Astyanax mexicanus: one gene and its partners. The protein of the gene in region 3 interacts with the protein of the main gene of each other region in a biochemical or structural test. Links are inferred from orthologs where the notes say so. Each region holds a gene or a part of one and is shown on either strand. Other genes may lie near its edges.

Region 1 (7,014 bases), on a different chromosome or scaffold from region 3:
CATCCAGAGACTGAAGTAACAGAAAAAGCAATTGAAAGGAGGGTCGAAAGGACAACCTTTAGAGCCCTGGTGCTTCACACTGGGCCATTGCTAATTTCAACAATTGTTATCTGGACTAGTTGTGCAAAAACATAGTGATGAAGATGAATCCTTTGGCTTTCTAAAGCGATCTTTCTAGAACACACATATTCTTACTTCCTTACTAAGATGACCATAATGCACTTGCAACGACAGGTTCACTGACAGGGATTAAAGCTCTAGTTCTGGACTACACAGAATTTAATTTAATTGCAACTTTTAATACATTAACAAATGTACAGTTGTTTTCAGAAATCTCCTTTGCCTGTGCCAAGATACACTTCCACAAACATGTTGTGAAGAGAAGACATTGACAGATCCTTGTTCTTCAAATAAAACTGGGTGGCAACACGCACCTGATTCCCATCCCATACTTTTTCCACTCACAAATATGTAATATTGAAAAATTGTCCTCATTCTTGTCTAGGTTGTTCAACATTATCATTCTTTTTATCTACTTTTAGGAATTTAGGAAATTTAGGAAAATCTGATGAGGTTTTAGGTCATATTTATGTAGAAATATAGAAACAGAGAAAGTTTACAAACTTTCAGGCACCACTGCAGGCCAGGACCTTGGTTACTTTCTGTGTACAGAAAAAAAACATATACACCTCTGGAAAAAATAAGGGACCACCAAAAATGTTTGAGTTTCTTTGATTTTACCTAACTTAAAACCTCTGGAATATAATCAAGAGGAAGATGGATGATCACAAGCCATCAACCCAAGCTGAACTGCTTGAATTTTTGCACCAAAAGTGCCATAAAGTTATCCAAAAGCAGTGTGTAAGACTGGTGGAGGAGAACATGCCAAGATGCATGAAAACTGTAATTAAAACCAGGGTTATTTCACCAAATATTGATTTCTGAACTCTTAAACCTTTCTGAATATGAACTTGTTCTCTTGCATGATTTGAAGTCTGAAAGCTCTGCATCTTTTTTGTGATTTCAGCCATTTCTCATTCTCATTTTGAGAGAAATGTTGTCAGTAGTTTATAGAATAAAACAACAATGTTCATTCTACTCAAACATTTACCTATAAATTGCAAAATTCAGAAGAACTGATTCAGAAACTGAAGTTTTTTTTTTTCTAGAACTGTAGGTGCTACTTAAAGCAAGGTTTCTCAATATATAACCTAAAAAAATAAAAACAAGAGTGTAGACTGTCCGGCAGAAAGGTCCTTTATATCTCCTACTGGACAGCCTTGACATTTGACTTAATGATGTGGGTAAGTGTATGTGTGCTCCTGCTTTGGGAAGCAGTGTCCATGTCAGGTTTAGTTTGAGGCAGGGAAACACTAAGACAATGATGGCGGCCCGTCTAACACACATACACTCACAGACACAGTCATACACACACTAAAATCGGGACTAATGTGGTACTGCATATGAGAGGATAGGATCCTTGTGGCCCAGTGTTTGTATTACACAGTACAGGGGTTCAGATTTGGGGAGAGACAAGATACCATAGACACATATGACAACAACTAAACAACTACATAATTATGCTGTGTGTGTGCTCAGCGTTTCTGTAAATGTGTGTGTGTAAAAACACAGTTAGTCTGCGACCCTGTGACGCAGTCTGAAGAAAAAGGCTGATAGCTAACACACATACACACACACACACACACACACACACACACACATAATAAAACCTCTGCTCCGCGCGTGTGTTTATATATATTTGTACCCATTGTCACGCACCCACACCGTACCGGAGCACCGCACGCACTGCACGGACTAAACCTGGCCAACACTCGGCCCGAATGCCACCGAAGTGACCACATACCGAGCATAACAGCGCGCACACAACTTGCAACGAGTTTACAAAGTATCTCAGCGCGAACGGGCTTCTGGGAGATGTAGTCCCCATGACGTATCCCAACTCTCTTCCTCGAACGCAGTGAACCGGCAGAGCGAACTACACTTCCCAGAATTCCCGAGTGAAATAATTTTATTCGGCACCCCTTCTCCTGACACTCACCCCAACTGATGAATGCAATCCAAATGCCACAAAAAACGTCCTGATTTCTAATGAAAAAAGTCCGGGTCGGGGGGCTCGGTCACTCCGCGAGGGGCTTTAGGGCACCGTGCTCGCGCTCTTGCAGAAGACGCGCGCGGGCGCTGCGAAATTTTTACACAACTGCGTCACAATTTTCACCCCCTGTAATTTTCCGCAGTTTTCTCGGAAAACTGACCTATTTAACGCTAATACCGCGGGGTTACACAATCCCCCTGCAGCCTGCTCGCCCAGACCGAGCGAAAGAGCGAGCTGAGGCCAAGCGGAGCTCGCAGATCCCCGAGGTATTAAGGCTAATTAGACTTACAAGTGCATTGTCTGGCTAAACAGGCTCAGATAGATAACCTAACCAACTACAGTCCTGCACTAGATAACCTAGCTGTCTATCTATCTACAGCTCTTGGTCTCTGTGTCTCAGGGAGTAAACACTTTTAGAGAGAGAGAATAATAATAATAAAGGAAGAGCACCGCGAGGCTCAGCTAATATACAGGGTTATGGCTATCTGAAGCTATCAGAGGAGAGAGAGCTATCCGCCGTCGCTGCCAGACCCCAACACAACCACAGCAGCAGAGACAGAGAAATACAAAGAGCCCGGTGAGCTTTAGATTATCCATAGCTATGTTAATACTGTCTCTCCCCTGATTTGTACAGACTGTTATCGCTCGGGTTTCGGCTAGTTTAACACCGCTAAAATGCGTCAAACGCCACAAACAAGGCGAAACGCTCCGTCGTGCAACAAGTTCGCAGCGGGCGCCCCGTGTCGGAACCGTAGCCGGAGAAAAGCGCGCTATTAAGACACTATTGTACTTACTTGTCGCATCTGAGTGCATTTTTATGAAACGCTCAACTGTATTTGTGTGAAGCTGCAGCAGACCGGCCAGTGGGCGGGATATGTCACTGTTCCCCATGCCCACCGATGATTTAGGTGGACGATGGATTTGCAGGCCACGCCCACAATCGACACCGATTGGCCACGACAGGTGCCAATCTCTGAAGGCACACACAAAGAGGTGAAGCCCTCACAGGACGCGGTGTGATACGCTGAAGCTCCACTAAAGCCCCGCCCCTCAAAGCAGCCCACTGGCTGTAGGTCTTCTACGAGCGAATCAATTACGACCGTTTCCTCGTGCAAAGAAGAAAACCGCCCCACGCTGACAGCTCATTGGATACTGTGCGCCCGGGTGCCGCCCCCACCTCTGCTGACAGTGGTCTAAACTCACGTCAATCATCGCTGATTCGGCTGATCTCACGCGCTGATTGGTCGAGGCGCCCAGTTTTGTTTACTGTAGGGCGTGAGAGTCCATTTCCTCACAGATATTTTTGTAGAAAGTTACCACACAGCGAGTTACTCCCTACAGGATTCGTCTTAAAATCTAAACTGCGCTTAAAGTAAACCCAACACTGACTAAAGGCCGCTCTTTAAAACACCGCAGCGCTGTCCTAACGCTCTCTCTCTCTCTTTATCACGGCTGCTCCTGAGGTGTCCATCGCACACATAAATATTCATTTCCTTTGTTTACCATCGTCTCGTATTGTGTTCTTGGAATTTCGCTGTTCACACAAGCACCTTCTCCGTCGACTGAACCCCTCCCCAAGACCTCCTGGCTTTAGATAGACAGATAATGAAGAAAGCTGGCTGTTTATTCCTCAAACTGTGACCATATTCCTCACACATACAGTGGGAGGGGACTCCACAGGGCTGGACTTGCCACGCATGAAGATGTAGCTTCCATCAGATGTTTTATCAATGTTCAGCTTCGAGTCTAGAGCTACAGCTCTGCTCCCAGTACCACCATGCAGTTAGCTGACAATACTGCCTATGTATATAAATATACCCAGCACCACTTGGTGGATTATTTCAGTTTCGTTCAGCATGTTGTCATTCAGAACTCCTTCCTTACTGTTTAACCTGTAGTAAGACATTAATTACCCAAACATGACTGCAGACTACCTTCACACTCTTATCCTGGATTTTTTTTATTGGTCAGCCATGCAAAATTACATCCCTGCTAAAAACAAAATCCAGCTCGAGTCTAGCTTTTATTGGTTGCTGGTTTCAAATGGGCTTTTTGGTATCGAATTTCGAAACACAGCCCTAGTGCCCTGAACGTTTAAGATTCAAAAGTTTATTCTCATATGCACAGAAAAACAGGTAGTTTCACTGTACAATGAAATTCTTACTCTGCCCTTTCCCCTGGACCACAAGTAGGCCGACAAACAATGACAGTAAAATATATGCATTATATACATGTACAAACGGGACAAAGTACACAATATATTTGCAGTATGATTAAATAATGACAATAAAAAAGTGTCAATATGAATGCAAAAGATAATACTGTGCAATACTAAATAGCTGCTAAAAGAGACTTGAGCATTTATATATTTATAAGTATTTTGCAGTATAAATAATAATGTAGGTCTATGAAAGAGGTGACGCATAGAATTGACTAGTGTATTATGCAAAAGAGCAGAGCACTGTGTGTAATGTTCTAGTGATCATCTCATGGGAGAGATGAAAGAGCATGAACTGCATTACTGGTCAGATGCCTGTTCCTAAACCTGTTCCATAATCTGGTCGTCCTTGATTTCACACTCCTGTATAGCCTGCCAAATGGGAGGACTGTGAAGAGGTTTTGTTGAGGATGAGTGTTATCCTTGATAATCTTGTGGACCCTCCTGAAGTGGGGGGGGGGGGGGGGGGGGGGGGGCTTGGATCCAAATCAGTGATGCTTTCAATGATGCACCTGTAGATGTTCCTCAGAGTTTTGGTTGGCATGGTAGCTTTATTGAGTCTTTGTACAAAATACCGAATTTGATACAGAAAATACCAAAGTACCGAAAGATGGCACAAAAAAATTCACTCCCATTCTTTAACTTGCATCAATTTCATTGTGCGTCCATTTATTTTTCTATTTTAGAGACCCTTAATGTACAGTTTTTTCATTTACATGCTCTAACACCAAAATAATCAAGATTTCATCATTATTGGACATTTTGAATAAAAAATTGCTATATAAGCTGTAAAAAGTCAATCATTTTTCTAAGCTTAATTTTTATTTTTGCCATATGCTATATTATATTGTAGAATGATTTTTGTATGCACTGCTATTGATATAAAAAAATTGGTATTGTTACAACCCTACTACAATTCTACTACAATTTGGTCAATTTGGTTTGGGTGGTAGTCCATAGAAAGTCTGTTGTTCTTTAAGCCTGCTGTAAATATTTTGAGCACCATAGGAAAGCCCCAGCCTAGGAGGAGCTTCTTAATTAACTACATATTTGAATGGCATCTGTTTTATGAGGAAGCGTGCAAAAATGTGCAGCATGTACGGTTACTAGAGCTGACTTTGTGAACCTCTGAACTCTGCACTGCTTATTGTACCAATCCTAAAGCAGAGGGTTAGTGTGCTTTGATGTAACCTTTCCAGTACATCTAAAATATCATATCTAGTTAATTTATTTAATTTAAAAGGTAGCATTAACCTGTACCACTTTGGACAGTTCAGATCACCTTTTTTAGGTTTACACATGGATCAAGTGTGTTAGATTAAACTGGAGCCAAAATCTGCAAGGCAAAATCTTGACAGAACAAGTATTGGACATCTCTAAAAGTAGTTATTTTTACTAAGTTGTTCATTTGCTGCTGTATATGTAATGCTCTACATATAGGTCTACTTTCTGTTATTCTGTGTTTACTCTGGTGCAGTTGCTGTGTTGCTTTGTTTAGCTAAGTATTTTATTTTGCTGATATGTAAGCCAATTGGCCTAAATTGGCTTAAATTTAATTAAAACAATTAAAACATGTCAAACAACAATTGATCTACCCAATTTAAGTTGAGGCCTCCGGTGTCCACTAGATGCCCCTATTGGTCAAAAACAATTTAGATGTGTGTGGAATTGTTTTAGATATCAGGGTTGTAAATATAAATCCGAACCAGTAAGAAATCAGGCCAAAGACAAATTAATATATAGTGTTAAAAAATAATTATTACAGGTATATTACATTTCTACTGCAGTCTAAAAATTACTTAAATTAATTTATAAACATGCTATATATTTTAGTTATTGTGCAGTTTCTTACTTTTCTTTCTGTATGTTGATGGACATTATAAATCTATTAGTTGCACCATGTTGTTTCTGCTTACAATTTGCATGATGATGATGAGCTGCAAGTTTAAATACTGGGAAGGATATTCTGCTTGTGCCGGACCGTGACCATGAATGGGATTTTGAGAACAGAAAAAGTTGCGCATCATTGGTGAACCAAATAAAAAAATACCCTATACTGTCCCATAATGTCTAAACAAGACCATAATGCATATCTATGATCAGCTTAATCTAGTAACAACTCATTATTATATGGATTCTGAAAATTCTCTCCATTGAAATGTTCGAACATGGTGTAGATATCAGCAGTGTGAAACTATGTTAATGTGTAAAAAGAAAACTTTGTAATATCTGCAGTGTCAGTGTTACAACTGTGAATGAATTATAAAACTAACTACTAAAAGCTCACTGGCTAAAACAAAATCTGGATATGTTCGGACAAGGCTTACAGTTTCTTTTTCTCCTGTCAACAAAGCTTTAAAAAAAACTCTCCAAAATGGAAAGTTTAAAATCTGTAATTTTGTTACTTGCATAGTACACTACATTGGGAATAGTGTGTAATACATAGGTCTGGAATCTGAATTTTATCTCCTTCCACAAATGTATACAAAATACACAGCTGCCACAGTTTTCCCACCATTGTTCAAACACTGAAATACACAATGGGACTGAAACAGCAGGTGGGGAAGGGCACACAAAATGCATGGTTTATAGAACACATGCTAATTTAAAAAGTGAAGACCCTACTTTAGGTAAAAGAAGAAGACTTTAAGTGAGCCTGGCTTTAATAAAATTGTGTGTGTTT
Region 2 (6,865 bases), on a different chromosome or scaffold from region 3:
TCATAAAGTTTTAAGAGTTCAGAAATCAATATTTGGTGGAATAACCCTGGTTTTTAATCACAAATTTTAATTCATGCATCTTGGCATCATGTTCTCCTCCACCAGTCTTACACACTGCTTTTGGATAACTTTATGCTGCTTTACTCCTGGTGCAAAAATTCAAGCAGTTCAGTTTGGTGGTTTGATGGTTTGTGATCATCCATCTTCCAGAGGTTTTCAATTTGGTAAAATTTAAGAAACTCATTTTTAAATGGGTTCTTAGTTTTTTTCCCAGAGCTGTATGTGTGTGTAATAACTGATATCGGCCCAGAACTCCCACCTCGGTGCATCCCTAACCAGCAGTGTTCATGTAATGTAAAGTTTACTCTTTTTTACTCTGAATGGAACTGCTGTTGCATTCAATGCCATGATTTTAGCCCAGTTTTAGCCCAGTCGTTGATAGTTTTTCTATGATTGATTTGGTTGGTGAGCTGATCCTGGAGATACAGTTAGAGCATGTTAAAAATGCTTATAACTGGAGTTCAAAATTATAAAAATTATGTCTGCAGTACTAAAACATTTCACATAGTTCTGTGTTGAGGACATAAGTACATATTTCAGTATTCAGTATAAAACAAGTGCATATTTCCGTATAAACTAACTTTAATATAAACTCATTAATTTTGGACTCTGTCCTTTATTCTATTCAAAGGTTTATTTTCCTTCCTAAATAAAACATTTTAACGTATCATCGCTGCCCAATGAAAAACATGTATTTCTAAAACGGCTACTTTACAGAAGAGAGATAAAACCTTTTTAAAAGCTTCCTTTAGTCGATATAAAGAGTGTTTATTTTATGAAATTTTGAAGAATTTCTATTCTTCTATTCTATTCCCCAAGAACTTCAGTCTCAGTGTTAGGGACAGTCTTATTCTCTCTAATCCTGTAAAAATGTATTTTTGTAGATACAAGGTTTTGACATGACAGCAATGATATATGGTTTCTATTAGTGTCAAACAATGTCTTGTCTGATATGACATGAATTTAAATTAAATTCTATACTTTATATTGGTATATGTCTGTACCTGAGCACTGACCAGCACCTTCAATTGAACACACACACACACACACACACACACACACACACACAAACACACACAAACACACACACAGCAGTTTATTCTGATATATTAGCCAGATAATATACTGCTATGAATGAACGCTGTCTCTGCTGCTCCATGCTGTTTACATGCATTCACTGCTCATATCTGTGCTGCATGTCCCATTGAAAACACTGTGTTTAAAAGCGCAGCTGCAAATTCTCAGCGTTCTATATTAAAGCGGCTTTACACTGCACAGATATACAGATATACACAGTGGAACACAGAATCTTCTCACTATATTTACTTTCGTACTCCTGCTCCAGACAGCTCTGACAATCAGAGGAGACTCTGATGTGTTTGTGTAGTTTATTGATGCGCATTTTGGTGCCAAATAAATAAACTTATCAACTGATCCGGATTTTAGAAACTTTCATAACTACAGGTGTAAAAACGCTCTTTTATACCAAGTTCTAATTCAGAAATCCTTACAACCAAGCTGAGATGTTCACAACAAAGTAAAAAAAATGTTTCCTATATCCTATTTATCATTCATTCTTTATTCCAGCGCCTCACGTTACGGCTTTATCTCCCCTCAAACATACAAGTAGAAACTATTATTTAGATTAATTAATATTAATATATTCACATTTTACTTTTCTTACATTCATTCTTTAAATTACATTTAAATGGCCACTATAAAACCCTGTCTTAAGAATGAAAATTGTGATTAATCGCAGTTTATCACAGAATATTGTTGTGATTATTCTGATTAAATGTTTTAATCCACTGACACTACTAATATATATATATATATATATATATATATATATATATATATATATATATATATATATATATATATATAGCTTTATGGGTTTAACGGAGGTAAATTAACTTACATACTAGACTTACTTAAACAGCTACAGTGAACTTTATATATATATTATATATTTTATGGGGTTTGTGGTTTATGATGCTTATATATAAATGTTGTTAAATGATCAAATGACTTTTACTGTAGTTGGTACAGGGATTTAGCAGAAGTAGCTAAAGCTAAAGCTAGCTCCATAACTCTACTACAGCCTACATAAGCTAACCAGGCTAAGCTGTGTTGTTACTGTATTTAAACTAAAGTAAACTAAATAAACAGGACTTTACCTACAAAATCAGGCTTTCATCTACTTTACTCTTCTGTTTATTTAGTTTATTAGATCGTTTATACTTTTCTGCGGCGCTGACAGAGCTGACAAAGTCTTATTTAGCTTTACTAAGCTAACAGGCTAACTAAGCTAGCTCAGTGTGCCCGCTGCTGGCCCAATTCAGCGCAAATCCCGTTCACTTTTCCGTTAGCTTTAGCATCGGGCTAATTAGCTGGGGTGCTAAACGCTGCTTCGCCCTGTTTCTCGGAGCGCGGAGGAGTTGAGGAGTGTGGATCTCAGGTGTTCGGGGTGTAGCTGAGTTCAGGTGAGCGGAGTTCAGGTGTGTGGGGTGTAGTGGAGTCAGGGGGCGGGTTCAGAGACTCACCTGGGCAGTAAGCGGGGGGATCGGGGCAGGTCGCCGCCGCCGCGGGTCCGACACTTCCACATCCAGCAGCTCCAGCCCCCGTGCGCTCCTGCTCTCAGCCCGGCTCTACAGCTCCAGCGAGGGGCGAGGGCCCGGCCGGCAGCCCGCAGCGCGGCTCCGGGGGGTCCCGGTGTGAGTGCGGTGCTGGGTGAGGGAGATACGGGGTTTGTGCGTGTGTGAGAGTGTTTTTCTCTTTGTGTTCCTCTTCTGCTGATCTTTACTCAATCACTGAACATTATGGGAATTTTCCCTCCGTCACGTCCTGTACAGCCTGAGCGGATCCGCCGCAAAACCCGGACTGAATCTGCTTAAAAACACGGACTGCGTCTGGTTTAACACCGCGGACTGGATTAGCCTCAATACAAGGAAGGGGTATGCTTTAAAACATGGACTGGTTCTGCTTCAAAATATGGACTGGATCAGTCACAAAACCTGGACTGGATTTCTTTCAAAACCAAAACTTGACCTGCTTCAAAATCTGGACTCGATCTGCTTCAAACCCAATACTGGATCTGCTTTAATACCAGGACTTGATCAGCTTCAAAACATGGACTGGATCTACTTCAATTACCGGATCTGCTTAAAAAACATGACTGTGTCTGCTTCAAATCATGGACTGGATTAGCCACAATACAAGGAATGAATCTGCTTCAAAATATGGACTTGCTCTGCTTCAATACCAGGACCAGATCTTCCTACAAACCTGAACTGGATTAGCCACAAACCTGGACTGGATTTGCTTCTGAAGACTGAAAAACAGTTTTTACCATAGTACTGTACGAGAACTGAACACTGCAAAATGCACGCACACTCTCAGACCACTACCAAGGAACTAAAAAATTAAACGTACAAACCTTAATAGCTGGACTTACAACGCACTGTGCACTTTCTGTATTTATTATTGGGTAAATTGTTACTATATTGCCTATATTTTCATACATCCACTGTAAATGTGTGTAAATTTGTGTATTTGTACATAGAGCTGTTATTATTTTGTTTTCTTTTATTTTTGTTCAGGCACCATAAGGATTGCTGCTAAATTTCGTTGTACACTGTGCAATGACAATAAAAGTATCTTATCTTATCTTATCTTCAAAACCAAAACTTGACCTGCTTCAAAACATGGACTGGATTAGCCACAATACACGGACTGGATCTGCTTCAATATCAAGGCTGGAGCTGCTTCAATACCAGGGCCAGATCTGCTTTAATATCAGGACTGGGGAAGCCACAATACAAGAAATGGGTCTGCTTCAAAACTAGGACTGAATCTGCTTTAGTACCTGGACTTGATCTGCTTCAAAATAAGGACTGGATCTGCTTCAAAACATGGAATGGATCTACTTTATAGCTGGGACTGGATCAACCCCAATATCTGGATTGGATCTGCCTGGGATTCTGCAAATAAATGTATTTTATTTTAATTTTATTTTTTTTTTTTTTTGAAATGTGATATGTTTTTTTATTCTGTCACTGGTCCATGGAGCTTAAAATGTTGAGATATTGAAGATACTATTTCGAATTTAAACCTTGCTTTTGATTGGCTATAGATAGTCAGTAAATTGGGTGCCCCCTATCTCCAGTCCCTTGCTTGTTCTTTCCTAAACTTCTCTCGGCATAAATATCTATCTATCTATCTATCTATCTATCTATCTATCTATCTATCTATCTATCTATCTATCTATCTATCTATCTATCTATCTATCTATCTATCTATCGGCGTTGTGTCTGTGGAGGGCGGGGCATATGGGAGAGGGGCGGGGCACAGTGAGGGGAGACGAAGAGAAGCGCAGCTGCTTCCATCTGTGTTGGAATTTCATGTAAGAACCCGTTATTCAATTCAATTTATTTCTATAGCGCTTTTTACAACAAAGGTTGTCATAAAGCAGCTTTACAGAGAAAAACAGATCCACGCCTCTTATATCTGAAACTTTTTGTAAAATCAGAAGCTTTGACACCACAGACACTGAGACACCAGTGAAACTTCTCATCAGGAAATAAATAGGAATAAAAGACAAAGGAGGCTGACCTTGATATAGTGCAATAATGTAGCTTTCTAACCCTGATCCAGGAGTATTAGTTAGTATTGTGAATGATGTAACCCAGGAGTATTAGTTAGTACTCTTCCGTACGCACAAAAAAATTTGGATTTATCAAACCGTGCGTAGACAGAATCCCACGTACTTTCTCTTAGTACATCACAATCAACTTGAAATCAAGCGCAAATGCACGAACACATCACACCTGCCATGACTCCTCCCTCAATTACGCATAGTATAAAGTTAGAATAATAATAATAATAAAAAAAAAATTATAATAAAAATTATTATTATATTATTATTAATATGATATACACGTTTAATTACCCATGTTTTAAATTGTATTATTCTAAGAGGGATAATAAATGATTTCATTTAAATGCTTTAAATTTAAATTTGCTAAATTTCCTTCGGGATCAATAAAGTATCTATCTATCTATCTATCTTAAATGAGTTGCTTACCAAGAAGCCACACGTCACGCATTCAGCTTGTTTTCTTATCCTCCTATGCTCTTGAAAATCTAAAACGGCTTATAAGTCAGTCATCATCATGGGCCAAAAAAACATAATGGTCGTGGAAAATGCGCTCTCAATGAATTTGGCCATTAGCAATATTTTCCAATAATGCCAACGTTGCCAACTCCAACAACTCCAGCGCAAACTTTTATGCATTTTTATAGAATCTAGGCTAAGTGGAAACACTTTAAACGATTATTTATGTAAGCCAATGAAATTGTCTGATTAATTAACTTTATTTTACCCAGTAATGCTGACTACAATGTGTGCATAAAGGATATCTTAATAGTTGTAATTTCAATGCATCGCCTCTAAGTGTCGCCAAATGACAAAAACACAATACATACGCACAAAAAAAAGGCGTACGCCCGAAACAAAAGTTCCGTGGGGGAACGCACTTTCTCACGTTCAAGTTAAATTTAGTACATCTGACCGTGAGCGTGAAATATGGCGTACGCAATATTTTTGTGCGTACGCACCTTTAGTACATGAGGCCCCAGGACTGAAACACACCTATACTAGTGTATCTCTTTATTTCAGTAATCCGGTTTAAAATGTGAAACTCATATATTATATAGACACAGAGTGATCTATTTTACGAGTTTATTTCTTTCATTGTTGAAAAATCAGTGTCTCCGGAAATTAGAATATTATATAAGACTAATTGGTACTAATGGGCAGTGTGTGCAGTGTGTCAAGTCCTGCTGGAAAATGAAATCCCCATTTCCAAAAAAGTTGTCAGCAGAGGAAATGTCATCTGCTGGTTTTGATCCACATGATTTCAATACATTTTTTTGAGATGCTCTAGTATAATAATATTGTGATGTGTGAAAATAGGTCCAATATTAAATATAGAAAATAAGTAAAAAATCTCAAATACAATAAATACACAATTAACAACAAGTATAAATTATAAGATATTAAATATATATAAAAACATGAAAAACTACAAAACTGAAAATATAATTGTGTGGGGTTTTTTTTTATTATTTAAACAAAATATTAATAATGTTGATTTTTTTATTTTTATGAGAGGTTTACTTTTAGACCCTCATTTATCTCCTCTATATATAAAACTCTAATAAAGGCTCTGTACTTTATTATTATTACAGATCTGCACAAACAGTATGAAGGACGAATAAATAAATACAATAAATATATATTTAATAATTGATTTATTTATCTATACAATTAGTTATGCGCGTATGTCATTATTTATTTATATACATATATATATATATATATTATTCTTTTATATGTGCTTTTATTTGTTTATACTTATGTAATTTTTCGTCCTCCATAAATAGAGGTGAGTCATCCAGGTCCAGAAAGTAAAAATCCATCGCAGGGTTTTGTACCAACTGCCAGGGCGGCTCAGCTTCAGCAAATCCGCCCAGGCCGTTGAAACAAAACCATGGGATGGAATTTTACTTTCTCTATCCATAAAACAGAACGCACTAAACTCTGCGCAGAAAGTAAAGTGTGCGCAGTATTGACGGCCCAAACGCCGGTGTTGTGCGCAGTCTGTTGCAGAAGCAGCAGCAGCAGCGGGGGTCAGGAGTACAGGAGAGGTACTGTAATCAGATAAACTGTAATTAATGTATTAAATACAGGGAATTTCAGCATTTATGTTGCTGATTCGGGTCTGCGGGGTGTTTATATATG
Region 3 (7,049 bases):
TGTTTTGGCATTAAGCAAGTGCAGTGAAATCTAGTTTAAGTTTTGAGGTGGTGATGTGAAAGACAGCTGACAGGTGATCGTCATGTCAAAACTCCATAAGCTGGCCTTTTTAAGGGATAACATCTAGCTAATTTGTATCTTTCCTTAGCACTGTCTCTCAGCACATTATCGTGAAGTAGCTGTATACACTTACACGCAAACATACCACCTGACATAAAAATAAATAGTTTTATTGCAAGCACAATGTTTGTGATAACGATAGTCTTGGCAGTATAACAAAACATTGAATAAAAAAAATATTTTAAGAATACACTATAGCAACAAAATGAAAATTGTAATATTGCATACGATATGATATGGCACACCACCAACTTAAAAAAAAAATAGAAGTATTTTATCAGATGTGTAACAGAAGTTAATGATACTAATAATGCAAATATCCAAGACTAAAGCAAAATGAATGATACTAAACAGACATAATCTGTCTCTAGTAAATATTTAATGAGAAATTGCTAAAAACAGCAAAAAAGTAGTACCCTGATGTCATAATTAGGAGTGGGTGATCTGGCACGCAATTTCAGGATATAATATTGTTCATGCTATTCGAAAATGTTGCTGATATTATTGCACACCACACGATATGGCACACCCCTAGTGTTCCAAACTGTATTATTGCAACGAATAGTCAACATTAGCTTTCATTTTGATTTGAAAATTTTAGTGTTAACTAATCGTTAACTGCAATGCACTACACAAACTGCTGGGACAGAAACACAATGGGGGATTGCTCGCTCGCTCACTCACTCCAGTTGTTTCTATCGTTTTGAGGTGATAGCAAAAGCTAGGAACAGGAGCCATAGCCACAGAAACCCAAGATAAAGGTATTGGTAGAAACAATCAGAAACAATCATTGACTAATTGACTAATCTGAAAAATTATCAACAGATTAGTTTGCAACCAAAATAGTCGGTAGCTGTACTTCCTGCCGTTCTGGGGTAGGCACTAATTCAACATTTTACACACCCTGCCACACTAAACCCAGGTAACCAGTACTGATTCTGCTCTCTCTAACACAACATGAAGTTACTAATGACTTTCATATTCTGCTTATAAAAGTGCACTATTAAATCCCTCAGAAAATATAGTACTTTTTATAATAAGAAAAAAAAAACTTTGTTAGAGACTACACAAAACTGATGCAGTCTGGTTTAATAGAACAGGTCAGTTCACTAAGTTTAATCAGCAAATTGAAAACTAAATTACAATGAAGTGTCATGACGTCTGATTTATCTAATCATAGTAAGATCTTTACTTGCATGTCAGTAGCAGGACATGACATAAAGCATAAGAGAAGGTCCAATAAAGAAAATCCATAAAAACTGTGAGAGATTACCATAGGCAGAACACATTTTATCTTACAGCTTTAGTCTATCACTTGTCCAGTCAGATCTAATGATAAACTGAACAGTTTATCAGTTCCTGGCTCAACTGTGTCAGAGTCAGAGGAGGCAGCTAGCTATAGCTGGATATTAACTTACATGCTCCAAAGAAACTAGTTCCCTAAACAAAGCCAAAGCCACTGTTTATCTCTTCCTACACAGAACCTATTATGTAGTAAAAACTACACTTCTAAGGATTTCTCTTTAGCTATATTTCTGAAACAGCTTGTCCTTGTTTTCCTCACAAACAAAGGGGACCATACAAAAATACAACCCATGATTGTGTTAATTATGCATTGTAGTTAATGAAGTGATTATTTTTGGGGAACGGGTTGCCACGTTTTAGACTATGGACAGTGACACTGATGCTATTAACCCATGTAAAATAAAATAATGATAATTGTAAGTGTTAGATATGCTCCAATAACATTATTCCTGTTCTTCACATAAATAAAAACAGACTGTAAACTTTTGTAGCCTGCTAAGCTAAGCTAGTTAGGATAGCTAACGTTAGCTAAGCTAACTAACGGCTAACTTGACGTTAGTTGATAGTTTGGTCGAATTAAAGGCCATAATTCCATGAAGTATGGCGAAAATTAGTGTCTAATTAACACTTAATGTTACCATGCGACTGACACCTAATAACAACTAATATATATGGAATAATATATAGCTACATAAAGCTAGCTAGCGGGCTATATTTAACAGAATTCGCCAAAGCTAATCTGCTCCTCTGGGTTAGCTTAGCTAACTAGCTAACCTTTGCTAGCTACAGTTAAATGCTTCCATCAGGAAATGAGCTAGATAGTTAGATACTGGATTTTTTTAGCCTGTTTAGTTAAATATCATTTCGTTTTCTCTAAGACAATGTCGTCTCAAACTCGTCGAAATGTTCAAGACTTATAAAAGACCAAAGCCGGCGATTAAAACACCTGAATGCTAAAACGGAGTGTGTTTAGTTCAGTGATGCTAGCGCTGTTTTCCTAGTTAGTGAGCTGGCTAGGTTAGCTAGCTTCGCCGCTTGTGCTTCTTGGAGATACGCCGTTGTGTTTTTATCTAAAATTTGTTTTTGTTTTGTAGAGATAAGACACCGGACTGATTCACACCAAAAGCGCGGCTGGTGATTTCAGTTCTGCTGTCCGTGTTCGGTGTTTCGGGTCTGTGTTACTGACTTTAATGAAGCTGTAGCCCCGGCGTTAGCCAGCTAGCCTACCTTTCTGTATCCGCAGCTGGGCCGCGCTTGCTTTTTTACCCCCGGCTCCGGTTCTGTTTCCTCCAGCAGACTCTTCATCTTTTTTCTGCTGTTTTAAAGAAAATAGTTTAATCATGTTTTGTGTGGCCGTGCGCCGGAGTCCGTGTCCTGTATGACTGTGTGTGTGGGGTTGATGGTGAAAGGTGAAGCTCAGAGAGATGGATGTGAATACAGCATTCAGGCCGGGAGAAGCAGCACTGAGCTAAACTACAGCAACACTGGAGCTCAGTCACTCTTACACAACTACACCAACACTGAGCACCAGCACACTCAGACAGCTACAATATTTCTGAGAACAGTCCGTGACAACTACATTAACACTGTGCACAAACCAACTGAGACAACTACACTAACACTGACCATAAGTACACAACTAAACCAACACTGAGCACAACTCCACTAATACTTAGCACAGTCAGACAACTACACTTACATTGAGCACAATCAAACTGAGATAACTACACTAACACTGACTATAAATACACAACAACACCAACACTGACAGAAATACATAATTACACTAAAACTGACCACAAATACACAACTACACTAACACTCACGTCAACAACACTCATGCAGCTACACTAACACTGAACACATATACATAACTACACTAACACTGTTCACAACCACACTCACATAACTACACTAACACTGAGCACAAACACAATTACACTAACAATGACCATAAATACACAACTGAACACATATACACAACTACATTAACACTGAACACAAATACATAACAACACCAACCCTACGCACAAACACAACCACCCCAACACTGAGCACAACCACCTCTAAGTAAAATCACACACAAATACACCAGCACTGAGAATATTCACATTTACACAAATACACTGATTATCACACTCACACAATTACAAAAAAACTGAGCACAAATACACAACAACTGCACTTATACTGAATACAATCACACAACTACACACAACATTGTTTTTTTATTCAGTCACAACATGTATCTCTGATGTATTCATGTTAATGTATGAATGTATGTTTTTTTTATTACTGACCATTAGATGACCTGATATAGTGAGTTATTACTAAATAAAAAAACAATCAAACAAATGGGTACATTGTATTTGAGCTTTAAAAAATATATATAAAACAGATGTTTTAAATAATAATGATAAGGGTGGACAAAAGAAAGGAAATCAGCAGAAGCTGTACTGAATTAAATAAAAAGGCTTTAGTTTAAGTAAACTAGAAGAGAAACAGCACTATACTGTTAACTTGAACTGAGTGCTGAAGTGTCTCCTGCATTTTATTAAAGCAAAAATCAGTTTTGTCCATAATCATCCACACATGTGAACATGCCACATTTTGTTCATATCCGAGTTTTTAGAAATGACTAGAGTCAAGCTCTTCTTAGCACAATGACGATCTGTCCCTTAATCAGTTATCAAACGTACCAAACTTATAATTATTTTATAACAATAAACTTCTATTAACCTTTTATACATAAAAACAGACTAATCTGCTTCAGATTATGGAATAAAGAAAACAATAAATCAGTAGGACTGGTCAGAAGGATCAGTAGGATTGAAACAGCAGAAAACTTGGGTGCCTGATAATATCTAATGATAAAGTGCACCTAGAAAAATCAACTGGGGTCAAAATAGCACACAGCAATATGGCATGAAATTGATCTTAAATGTTGACTTATTATGCCATGATATTGAATCAACTTTGTTGTCACTGTTACAATTTAGTACCATTCAACCATTAAATGTTCCAAAAACATATGGTCATTCTTGTTTGTTTGATTTTATGTACAAATTTTTGTATGAAAGCAACTGCCTAAGTAAACTGTCAAATCTGCACCCCTGATAGTCTGAACCCTCTCATGAATAGCTTAAAGTACACAAAAAAATAAATGTGTTACTGATATGCAAATTGTAATCCTTGACTTAAATATGAATCAACAAATATGGTACCTTTAAGCAATTGTGTATTAAAATATGCCGAACTGTGCATATCTGTAAATAGGTATATGACATATTCACAATTACAAAATCACTTATTCATAGAGTTTTACCTGGTGCTCCAAATTTTCTCTGTTTAAGCCTATTTATATTTATATGTTAGCCTAGCATTACCTCAGTTGTAATTCATATACAAGCTTACTCAAAACCTGTACTTACTTGGAATAATAAATGTATATAGTTTATTATGACCTATAAAAGTATATAGTCACACATTCTATAATCATTTATATATAGTCACACAACTATATTTTGACATAAATAGCTTACAGCTCATGTTATCTAAGATAAATGAGAATCTGTTCTCATTTCAGTTCATGTCAAACTGAAAGATGTCAACTATAATCTTAAGACTAATTACTGATCTGTAGGGCAAACAACCACAAAACAGCAGCAAAAATATGCTGTAATTTCCTGTGCTAATTTAGTCACAAAGCCTGCCTTCTGTCTTTTATGAAAAGCCTTTAAATGTGACTACAAATGAATGACTAAAGATTGCTTCTTTAGTTTTAGAAATGACCCAAGGCTAATGCAAGTGCAAAATAATAAAAGCTTATAATCCATTAGCACTGAAATGCAGAGGCCAGTGCAGCTAGCAAGCTAGCTAGCTAATGTAAAAGAGAGTTATTTCATGAGTGTAATTTTTTTTCTTTTTCTTAAAATTGCAGGATAATTATTATATTATCTCAGGAAAGCTATGATAATATCAACATTTTGAGATCTCAAACAACTTCTTATAATGGAAAAAGACAAGTAAATAACATTAATGTCAACTGTGGTTTACGTCAATTGTGACTGCTTATGCATGTGTCACCTTATTTAAAAGTGTAAATCCTAGTGTTAACCAATAATGTAACATTTCACCACCTCAACTAATCATGAAAGGAAATGGTCAGCTAGGCCAGAAGTGCTCTCTGTTATAGTGTTTTACTCACAGATATGCTAGTATTTATTTTTCAAATGTACTTGTTTACTCACTAGCTTATACATGCGTCTGAAATGACTGACTTTGCCATTTAAGTCTAACCATTTACTTTAAAGTATATTTAAATGTACATCAGTCTGTCTGTTTACATTTAAGTTAAAACATTTTAGCCTGCATTGCCTTCATTATAATGTACAATACAGGGCAGCTGTTTAGAACAGAAGAAAAAATGTTGGGTAAAATTAATGATTACTGTTTTTTTATCATAAAACCACACAAGCTAACACAATGACTTTGGCACTCTGCATTAGCAAATAGTTGTGTCAAAAAAATGTATTAGATCATTAGTGGTAAATAAATCAAGCTAAAACCACTGTACATTAATCTAAAAGAGAAAATAATGAACACTTATAAAACGTGAGATATGAGTAATGAACATTACACCTTAAGTAGTAAACTCACACCTGTGATGTCACCTCAAGAAAAACGTCATGACATCATAGGTGTGAATCAGTCACACTCAGGCACTTTTATTTGTGTCTTATAAGTGACGACGCCCCGTGGATGAGTGAACGGTGTTCAGAATGATACCATGCGTCTACCAGTCCCGATCCGGGTTAAATGTGATCCTGGTTAAGTCCTGTTCTGTGACTCTCCCCCAGCTCGTCTCACAGAACTACACATCCCATAATGCTCTCGCTTGTCTGTGACGACGCGAAAGTGGGAGGGGCGTGTGTGTTTTTTTTAACCTCCATATTTTATTTACTATTTATTTATTTCATTTTTAAGGCAGAAATGGAGGACGATGGCGTCTTATGTGTCATCAAGACCCCAAAGACGAATTTGTAACGTTACGCGAAATTAAATCTAACACGACGTGAGAAAAAAACAGCCTGAGCAGATCTGACACAATAGAGACAAATGAGGAGAACAATAGCCACGTTCAGTCGCCTGCTCAGTTTTCTTTCGTTTTGATCGTTTCTGGAAATTGTATTTTTGAAGTAGGGGCGAATACGAGTGGAAATATAGGAGTCGCTGTGAAAGCGGGGCATTTTTAGACTGTGGGGATGCGTTCAGTGCAGATGCGGTGTGAAAACCTTGGGCTGTGAGAGAGAGAGCACGTTGGGACTGGATAAGGAGAGGGAGCGAGAGAGAGAGAGGGGGGAGAGAGAGAGAGAGAGGGTCATAGAAAACACTGAATGGCACCGAAACGCACACATACACAGATAATTCATATAATCCATCCATTCAGCAACCGCTGTAACTCTGCATTTATCTCTTCTGAACCTCAAACCCCCCGCAAAGGGCGCGGGGGAGAGCGGGTCTGATGGCAAGTTTTTCCTGATGCTGCTCGTTTTTTGAAGATGCACATGTAACTAAACGCTGCCAAAGCAGAAGAACAGAACAGGAGCAGAAGAGAAGAGAGG
Region 4 (6,947 bases), on a different chromosome or scaffold from region 3:
TTTTAAAGTCAAACAAGCGCTGTATGTTAATTTACACAGATTTCTCTACAGAAACTGTTTGTTTGGGTAAGTAAACCACTTCCATTTATTTAAAGTAAGCTTAGATTTCTAAAACATTGGTTGTTTTATCACGGTAAATGCACAGGCTACAGTCCGATAATACTTACCTCTAAATGGCGAAAGAGCTAGCACGTAGTGCGGTTAGTGGCTAATGCTAATGCTGCTCCAGCAGTACTGGACGGGTTTAGCAATACTTACCTCTGAACGGCAAAAAAGCTAGTGATTAGAACGGTTAGTGGGTAATGCTAATGCTGCTCCAGCAGTGCTAGCTGGGGTTAGCAGCAGGCCGATAATACTCACCTCTGACCGACAAAAAGGTTAGAGCTTAGTGCGGTTAGCGGCTAATGCTAATACTGCTGGAGACCTAAAGTGAAACTCCTGTATAACTCTGTACTTCAGCAGAGTGATTTTACTGCTTCTTAATACCTGACTGGTAGAATTCATACATAAGGAGCATCGGATTATAAGGCGCACTGCTGTTTTTTGGGAAAATTAAATGATTTTAAGTGTGCCTAATTTTATAATGCCGTCTCTAACTTTATCCCACAGCTTGAGAAGATGCAGAAGGAGGCCCAGCTGCTGAAGGAACTGGAGGAACTAGAGTTAGGGCTGTAGCAGACATTTACCTTTTCATTACATATCAATCCTATCACAACATCACAGATCCGTGTGTGAACGGGAACCAGAAGCTGAACCAGATCAGATCACAAACTGGTTTCAGTACAACCCCATCAAATCTGCAAACATAAAACCCACCTTAAAGAAGAAATCCGACGTGCTGCGATTCATTCTGTCTCTTTAAACGTGAGGCTGGAACCTACATCATGGCCTGGACCTCTAAAGGCATTATTGCTATGCAATGTTCTGTACAGTTTATGAGGCAGGTTATGCTGTTCTACACATGGAGTTTAACCAGTGGAGGTGAAGAAGCTTCACTGCAGTGCCCACGTCACCATCTGGACTCATATGTAGATTAAAAGAGCATGCCGTTTAGTTTCGATAAAATGAGGAAAAAGAAAAGTTTTTGCTTTGGGTTGTTTTTTTTGTTCGTCATGCTGCCAAAATGCTAAGTGATTAAATTTCCATCAGAAAGAGAAATAAATAATGGTTGCTTACAAACTACTTACATACTTTGTGTCCCCTCTGTTTCTTCACTGTACCATATTCATACTCATAAACCTCTTTAAATATCTGAAAGGCAAAGGCAAGCTTGTTTGAATAGCACATTTTATACATAATATCTTTTAAAAATATTTTAAAAATAAAATACAATAAAATTAGATTTGTCAAGTGACTAAGTACAAAAACTTCATTACCTTACTATTGTAGAAATGTAGGTTATCTATACTGGAGTAATTATTTTTACCCTTACAATTATCTGAAATTTCTACTCCTTACATTTTAATAAAACAGCCTCGTTACTCCTATTTAATTTCAGCTGGTTTTCATTCCGGCTTCTCATCGTTCAATAAAACCCCTATCCAGATAAATCTCTCCATCCAGATAGAGTGAATCTGATTGTGATTGGATGTAGAGAAGTATAAACATATACTATTCCGACTCCCTATTGGTTCATCATGTGATGCATCACACCTGCACACGCCCCCACCACCCACCCCCACACTCCAGCAAGAACATAGCAGACATATGTAGAGTAGTATGAAGATGATCCGTGCAGAGACTCAAGAGAACTCCAGACAAACTCCAGACCAACTAAGTTTCTTTAATATATTTACATTGTCTTTAATATATTTACATGTGAAATGCATTCATTATCAATGGGCATATATGCAGCTGAAACAAGGAGCCTAGTGCATCCCAAATTTATCAACATTAACATTTTAATAGAACTTTTTTAGTCATTATGGCTTTTATAAAAATGTATTTTTGGGGAGGGGGGGGTAGTGCACTATAGAACCCAAGTGCTGTTAAAGTGTGGCTTCAAGGTCCTTTTGTTTCACAGCTAACAAAGCAAGCCGCTCTCAGGGGTTGTGCACAATATGACTGCCTAAATCCCTATTCGGACGGGATTAGTTTCTCAGGGGGGCGTCTGTGAAAAATATTTCACACTTCTACTCAGTGATAAAACTCTTGAATTCGGACTGCAATTAAAAAAACAGGAAGAGCAGTGAGTTTTTAGGCTTTCTCGATCACGTGACCACACATTCAGTAGCTCCTCCATTTCCACTCGCTGTTGTGTTTTTAACGCAGATCTCTTACAGTGCGCAACAGTGGACAAAAAGCTATTTTATTAAACGAGACGTGACTAAATTAAGAGATGTCCGTCTGGACGGGCCTAAAATTACCGGAGGACCATGGAGTTCAGCGAAAAACAGTAGATAATTCAGCCTGTAATTTTCTCAGAGGGCGTCTGAGAAAAACACATACATGGTCATTCTGGATGGGAATAAAATCACAGAGGAGAAAATTATCCCAGAACCCTCTGAGAAACTAATCCCTTCAGCTTTTAGTATGAGAATTACTGTAAGTGTCTTTTACTTAGAATTCTACCATGTCTCACTGCAAGAGACTCCAAAATATCACAATAATTCCTTCCAAGATAAAAATAAAAATAAACCAATTTACCCTCCATTTTCTTACTTATCCTTTGATTAAAGGAGCTTTGATGTGATATTCAGTTTCTTTATGGGCATACATTTACAGACAATCAAGCTTTATTATTCTTTATTATTCTCTGGCTCTGACTTTTTTTATCTTATTCCCATACATATAGTATCTCGTTCCCATGCCTTAATAAGTCGTGGCCACTCATTATTTTTTTAACATGTCACCTTATGGGAAAATAAAAGATGTCACCTGCAGAGCCCATACGGTGACATGTTAAAAAAAAATAACATGTCACCTTATGGGCTCTGCAGATGACAACTTTTATTTTCTGGGATACCGATTTTTTTAAATTGTCTGTAAGCCATAATCATCAACAATAAAATAAATAAAATCTTAAAATAGATCACTCTGTGTGTAATACACATATATAATATATATATATTCAGCTCTGGAAAAAAAAATAAGAGACCGCTTACAAACGTTGAGTTTGAATGTTGAGATGGATGATCACAAGAAATCAAACCAAGGAGTGGTATAAAGTTATCCAAAAGCACTGTGTAAGACTGGTGGAGGAGAATATGATGCCAAGATGCATGAAAACTGTGATTAAAAAACAGGGATATTCCACAAAAGTTTATGAATATGAACTTGTTTTCTTTGCATTATTTGAGGTCTGAAAGCTCTGCATCTTTTTTGTTATTTCTGCAAATAAATGCTCTAAATGGCAATATTTTTATTTGGAGTTGGAGGAGAAATGTTGTCCGTAGTTTAACAATAATATTCATTTTACTCAAATATATACTTATAAATAGTAAAATCAGTCTTATTTTATTCCAGAGCTGTAACTGAATATTACTGTAAATAAAAAAAGAAATAAGAGAGGACTTGATGATGAGTTTCTTGGATTTCACCAAATTTAAAACCTCTGGAATACATTCAAGAGAAAGATGGATGATCACAAGCCATCAAACCAAGATGAACTGCTGGATTTTTTCCCCAAAAGCAGTGTGTAAGACTGGTGGAGGAGAACATAATGCCAAGATGCATGAAAACTGTGATTTAAAAAAAAAAAAATCAGGGTTATTCCACTAAATATTGATTGCTAAACTCTTAAAACTTTATGAATATGAATGCTCTAAATGACAATATTTTTATTTGGAATTTGGGAGAAATGTTGTCTGTAGTTTATAGAATAAAACAACAATGTTCATTTTGCTCAAACATAAACCTATAAATAGCAAAATCAGAGAAACTGATTCAGAAACTGAAGTAGTCTTTTATGTTACAGTGTTAGAGACCGGGGGTGGGACTTTTATTATGTAGTGCGGGACCCGGTTGTATAATAGGATAGCTGTGTCGGGGAGCTGGAGACCGGGGCAGGAGCGGAGGAGCTGCGCTGTGTTTTCTGGTGGATTGGGAGAATATCTGGACTCTGAGCGGCTCGGGTTCGGTCAGTATTCCCGGTTAAAGCCGGTATATCGGTGATTTAAGCGGCGGATCAGCGCTGGGAGCGGGGTGTTCGGGTTTAGCGCAGATAGTTACCCGGGTAGCTGCGCTGCTTTAGCCGTTAGCTCTTATTCAGTAGCCGGTAAACAGTAGCAGCAGCAGCATTAGCTCCCGGAGAATAACCACAGATTTATTACACAAATACCAGCTTTTAATAAATACTCCACTCACTAAACTAACCTCTAAAGCCTGTTCTATATTTATTTAATGTCCACAGCTTTATAAAATCTTAATAAATCAGTTTAAAATCAGGTGAAATTACAAATACCAGCGTTTATGTAATACTACACTCAATAAACTAATCTGTAACGCTTGTGCTGCTTTTACATAATGTCCACAGCTTCATAAATCCTTAATGAATCAGTTTAAAATCAGATTAGTATTTTTGATACACAAAAATACCAGCTGTTAATTAATACTACACTCAATAAACTAATCTGTAACGCTTGTGCTGCTTTTACATAATGTCCACAGCTTCATAAATCCTTAATGAATCAGTTTAAAATCAGATTAGTATTTTTGATACACAAAAATACCAGCTGTTAATTAATACTACACTCAATAAACTAACCTGTAACGCTTGTGTTACATTTATATAATGTTCACAGCTTTATAAAACATTTTATAAATCAGTTTTAAAGCAGATTAAATACGATATGATATATGGCACACTCCTAACATGAAATTCTAAAATACAAGAATTTGATCAGATTTGTAACAGAAGTCAATGATTCAAAATGTCATGGAGTCATAAATAAATCAACCTTTTTAAAATAGTTAAACTTTTAACACCTTGCTCAAGTTCCTTTTTAACTTGTATTTGTATTTATTTAACTCCCTAAATTGTTACACCATCACTGAAAAAGTTCAGTTTTAATAATTTAGAAGAAGAATAGTCAGTTGATATGACTATTTATTATTGAATTATTATTCAGGGGGGTTAGCTTGTGATTTTTGTTTCTAATACAGGATAAAACATCCCTCCTTATCTCCTGCCATTGTATTTGTTTTTCTATTGCATGGGAACTTTAATCTTACATTGCAGTTCTCAGTGCATTACCAACACTTTACGGTCACAATTTACAGTACAGAGGATGGTAACTTGCTCTTATTGCCTACAGAACATTGGCTAGGCAAATAACATGCACCCGTCATGCAAAAAATTAGTTTAATTGAGCAGAGTTAAATTAAATCTTTGTGCAGTTGGGCAGTATACATTTTTTAACTGTGTCTGACCTGTGTGTGTGTGTGTGTGTGTGAACCTGATGTAAAAGTACAAAATCTTCTTTATAAAGTAATAAAGGAAAATAAAAATGAGGATTTGTTCTAAAGAAACCCTTAAATGAATTACAATAGAAAATGAATAGAGGTCATTTTTGACCCAAATGTGCATTAGAGGTGTAGTGATAAAAAAGGTTATATGATGATCAAAAACAAGTTAACTGAGAAATACCTTAAATTCTGAATGGCTAAATTATGTTGCAAAACTGCAAAAGGGGGTATTGATACAAAAAGGGCTTTTATTTAAAAAAGTAAGAAAGGAAAGAATTAAATAACTATCTACTTACTGATAGTTTAATTCTACAGCGAATACTTGTCGCAATCAAAGCTAAAGGCAGTCCAACCAAATATTAATATTGGTTTTAACTATCGGCCATATTGGCTGATGAAGATGATTAAAAAAAAAAAAAAAAAAAAAAGCTATTCTTGGCAGATACCGATATAATTCTGATGTCATCATTCATGCATAATTTATATGTTGACAACAATTCTTAATTCATTTTATTGGCCGTATCATAAGCTATATGGAATGTCTGGTTTAAGATTTAGGCACACACTTTATTTTAGTATAGAATATAGATGGTAAAAAGCAGAAAAGCTGGAAATAATATATCCTTGAGCCAAACAAACAAAATGTATCACACTGTGAACAAAACTAACAAGAAGAGTCACCCAGATGCCTACTGCTGTTGATTGTGCCTCTTGTTTAACCTTTTCATATAAAGACAAATAGAGTTGAAGGGTATATCTAAGTTTTATACAGTTTTAAAACATTATTTTCCGTATAGCTCTTATATTGAAGTTGTTGCAGTTTTTTTTTTTGTATTCTGGATAAACCTGGAAATTAAACCAGAGAGACAGTATATTAGAGATAAATGAGATGAGGATGAATAAGGAATAAGTGTGGCGTGCTTGTTATTCTGCTCTCTGCATCATCATCATTACTCACCTGGCGTCTGGTAAATAACCCTCAATCTCAGGGTTATTGTGTAATCTCAGCGTGACCTTGTGGTTTCAGACGAGAGGCAGTCTGGAGCACATGCTGTTCATACTAATCAAGATCCACAGATATGAATAATAAACAGAATCTCAGAGCACTGTTTCCTAAAGCTGTTGCTAGAGGAACACCTTTCTGCACATGTTTGTAATGAGCCTGTTTTAACCCAAGTTATTTTAGATTTGCTATATCAGATTAGATATTTCAAATGTAAAAATAATAAGTGCAGCATGTCTCCAGGACCTGGATAAAAAAAAAATAATAAAGACTATGAAGTGCACTTAAAATCCTTTATTTTCCCAAAAAATCGTCAATTTACTTTATAAAACAGTGTGCCTTATGTATGAATTCTGCCAGTCAGGTATTAAAGAAGCAGTAAAGCCACTCTGCTGAAGTACAGAGTTATAAGGGTTTTCAGAAGTTTCTCCAGCACTAAGGCTGGGTGCAGCACCATTAGCATTAGCCGCTAACCTCAGCACTAGCTGTTTCGCCATTCAGAGGCGAGTGTATTGGAACTGTAATCTGCATGTTTACC

Evidence for each region.
Region 1: the proteins of ube2m (region 3) and dcun1d4 form a complex in vitro, tested with the Homo sapiens proteins (3 studies listed by BioGRID). The link is inferred for Astyanax mexicanus from reciprocal best matches to the Homo sapiens genes UBE2M and DCUN1D4.
Region 2: the proteins of ube2m (region 3) and dcun1d3 form a complex in vitro, tested with the Homo sapiens proteins (4 studies listed by BioGRID and IntAct). The link is inferred for Astyanax mexicanus from reciprocal best matches to the Homo sapiens genes UBE2M and DCUN1D3.
Region 4: the proteins of ube2m (region 3) and dcun1d5 form a complex in vitro, tested with the Homo sapiens proteins (3 studies listed by BioGRID). The link is inferred for Astyanax mexicanus from reciprocal best matches to the Homo sapiens genes UBE2M and DCUN1D5.

Annotation. Positions count from the first base shown.
Region 1 is NC_064408.1:65,186,001-65,193,014, forward strand, and holds the start of dcun1d4 (DCN1-like protein 4), read right to left. Parts: upstream 3,020-7,014; 5' UTR 3,005-3,019; coding exon 2,908-3,004; intron 1-2,907. UniProt on the Homo sapiens protein: Contributes to the neddylation of all cullins by transferring NEDD8 from N-terminally acetylated NEDD8-conjugating E2s enzyme to different cullin C-terminal domain-RBX complexes which are necessary for the activation of cullin-RING E3 ubiquitin ligases (CRLs).
Region 2 is NC_064413.1:56,191,864-56,198,728, forward strand, and holds the start of dcun1d3 (DCN1-like protein 3), read right to left. Parts: upstream 3,009-6,865; 5' UTR 2,607-3,008; intron 1-2,606. UniProt on the Homo sapiens protein: Contributes to the neddylation of all cullins by transferring NEDD8 from N-terminally acetylated NEDD8-conjugating E2s enzyme to different cullin C-terminal domain-RBX complexes and may play a role in the cell cycle progression by regulating the SCF ubiquitin E3 ligase complex, after UV damage.
Region 3 is NC_064410.1:32,283,255-32,290,303, reverse strand, and holds the start of ube2m (NEDD8-conjugating enzyme Ubc12), read right to left. Parts: upstream 3,003-7,049; 5' UTR 2,768-3,002; coding exon 2,653-2,767; intron 1-2,652.
Region 4 is NC_064416.1:4,963,191-4,970,137, forward strand, and holds the start of dcun1d5 (DCN1-like protein 5), read left to right. Parts: upstream 1-3,947; 5' UTR 3,948-4,078; intron 4,079-6,947. Other genes in the region: eif2a (eukaryotic translation initiation factor 2A), read left to right, coding at 610-675. UniProt on the Homo sapiens protein: Contributes to the neddylation of all cullins by transferring NEDD8 from N-terminally acetylated NEDD8-conjugating E2s enzyme to different cullin C-terminal domain-RBX complexes which is necessary for the activation of cullin-RING E3 ubiquitin ligases (CRLs).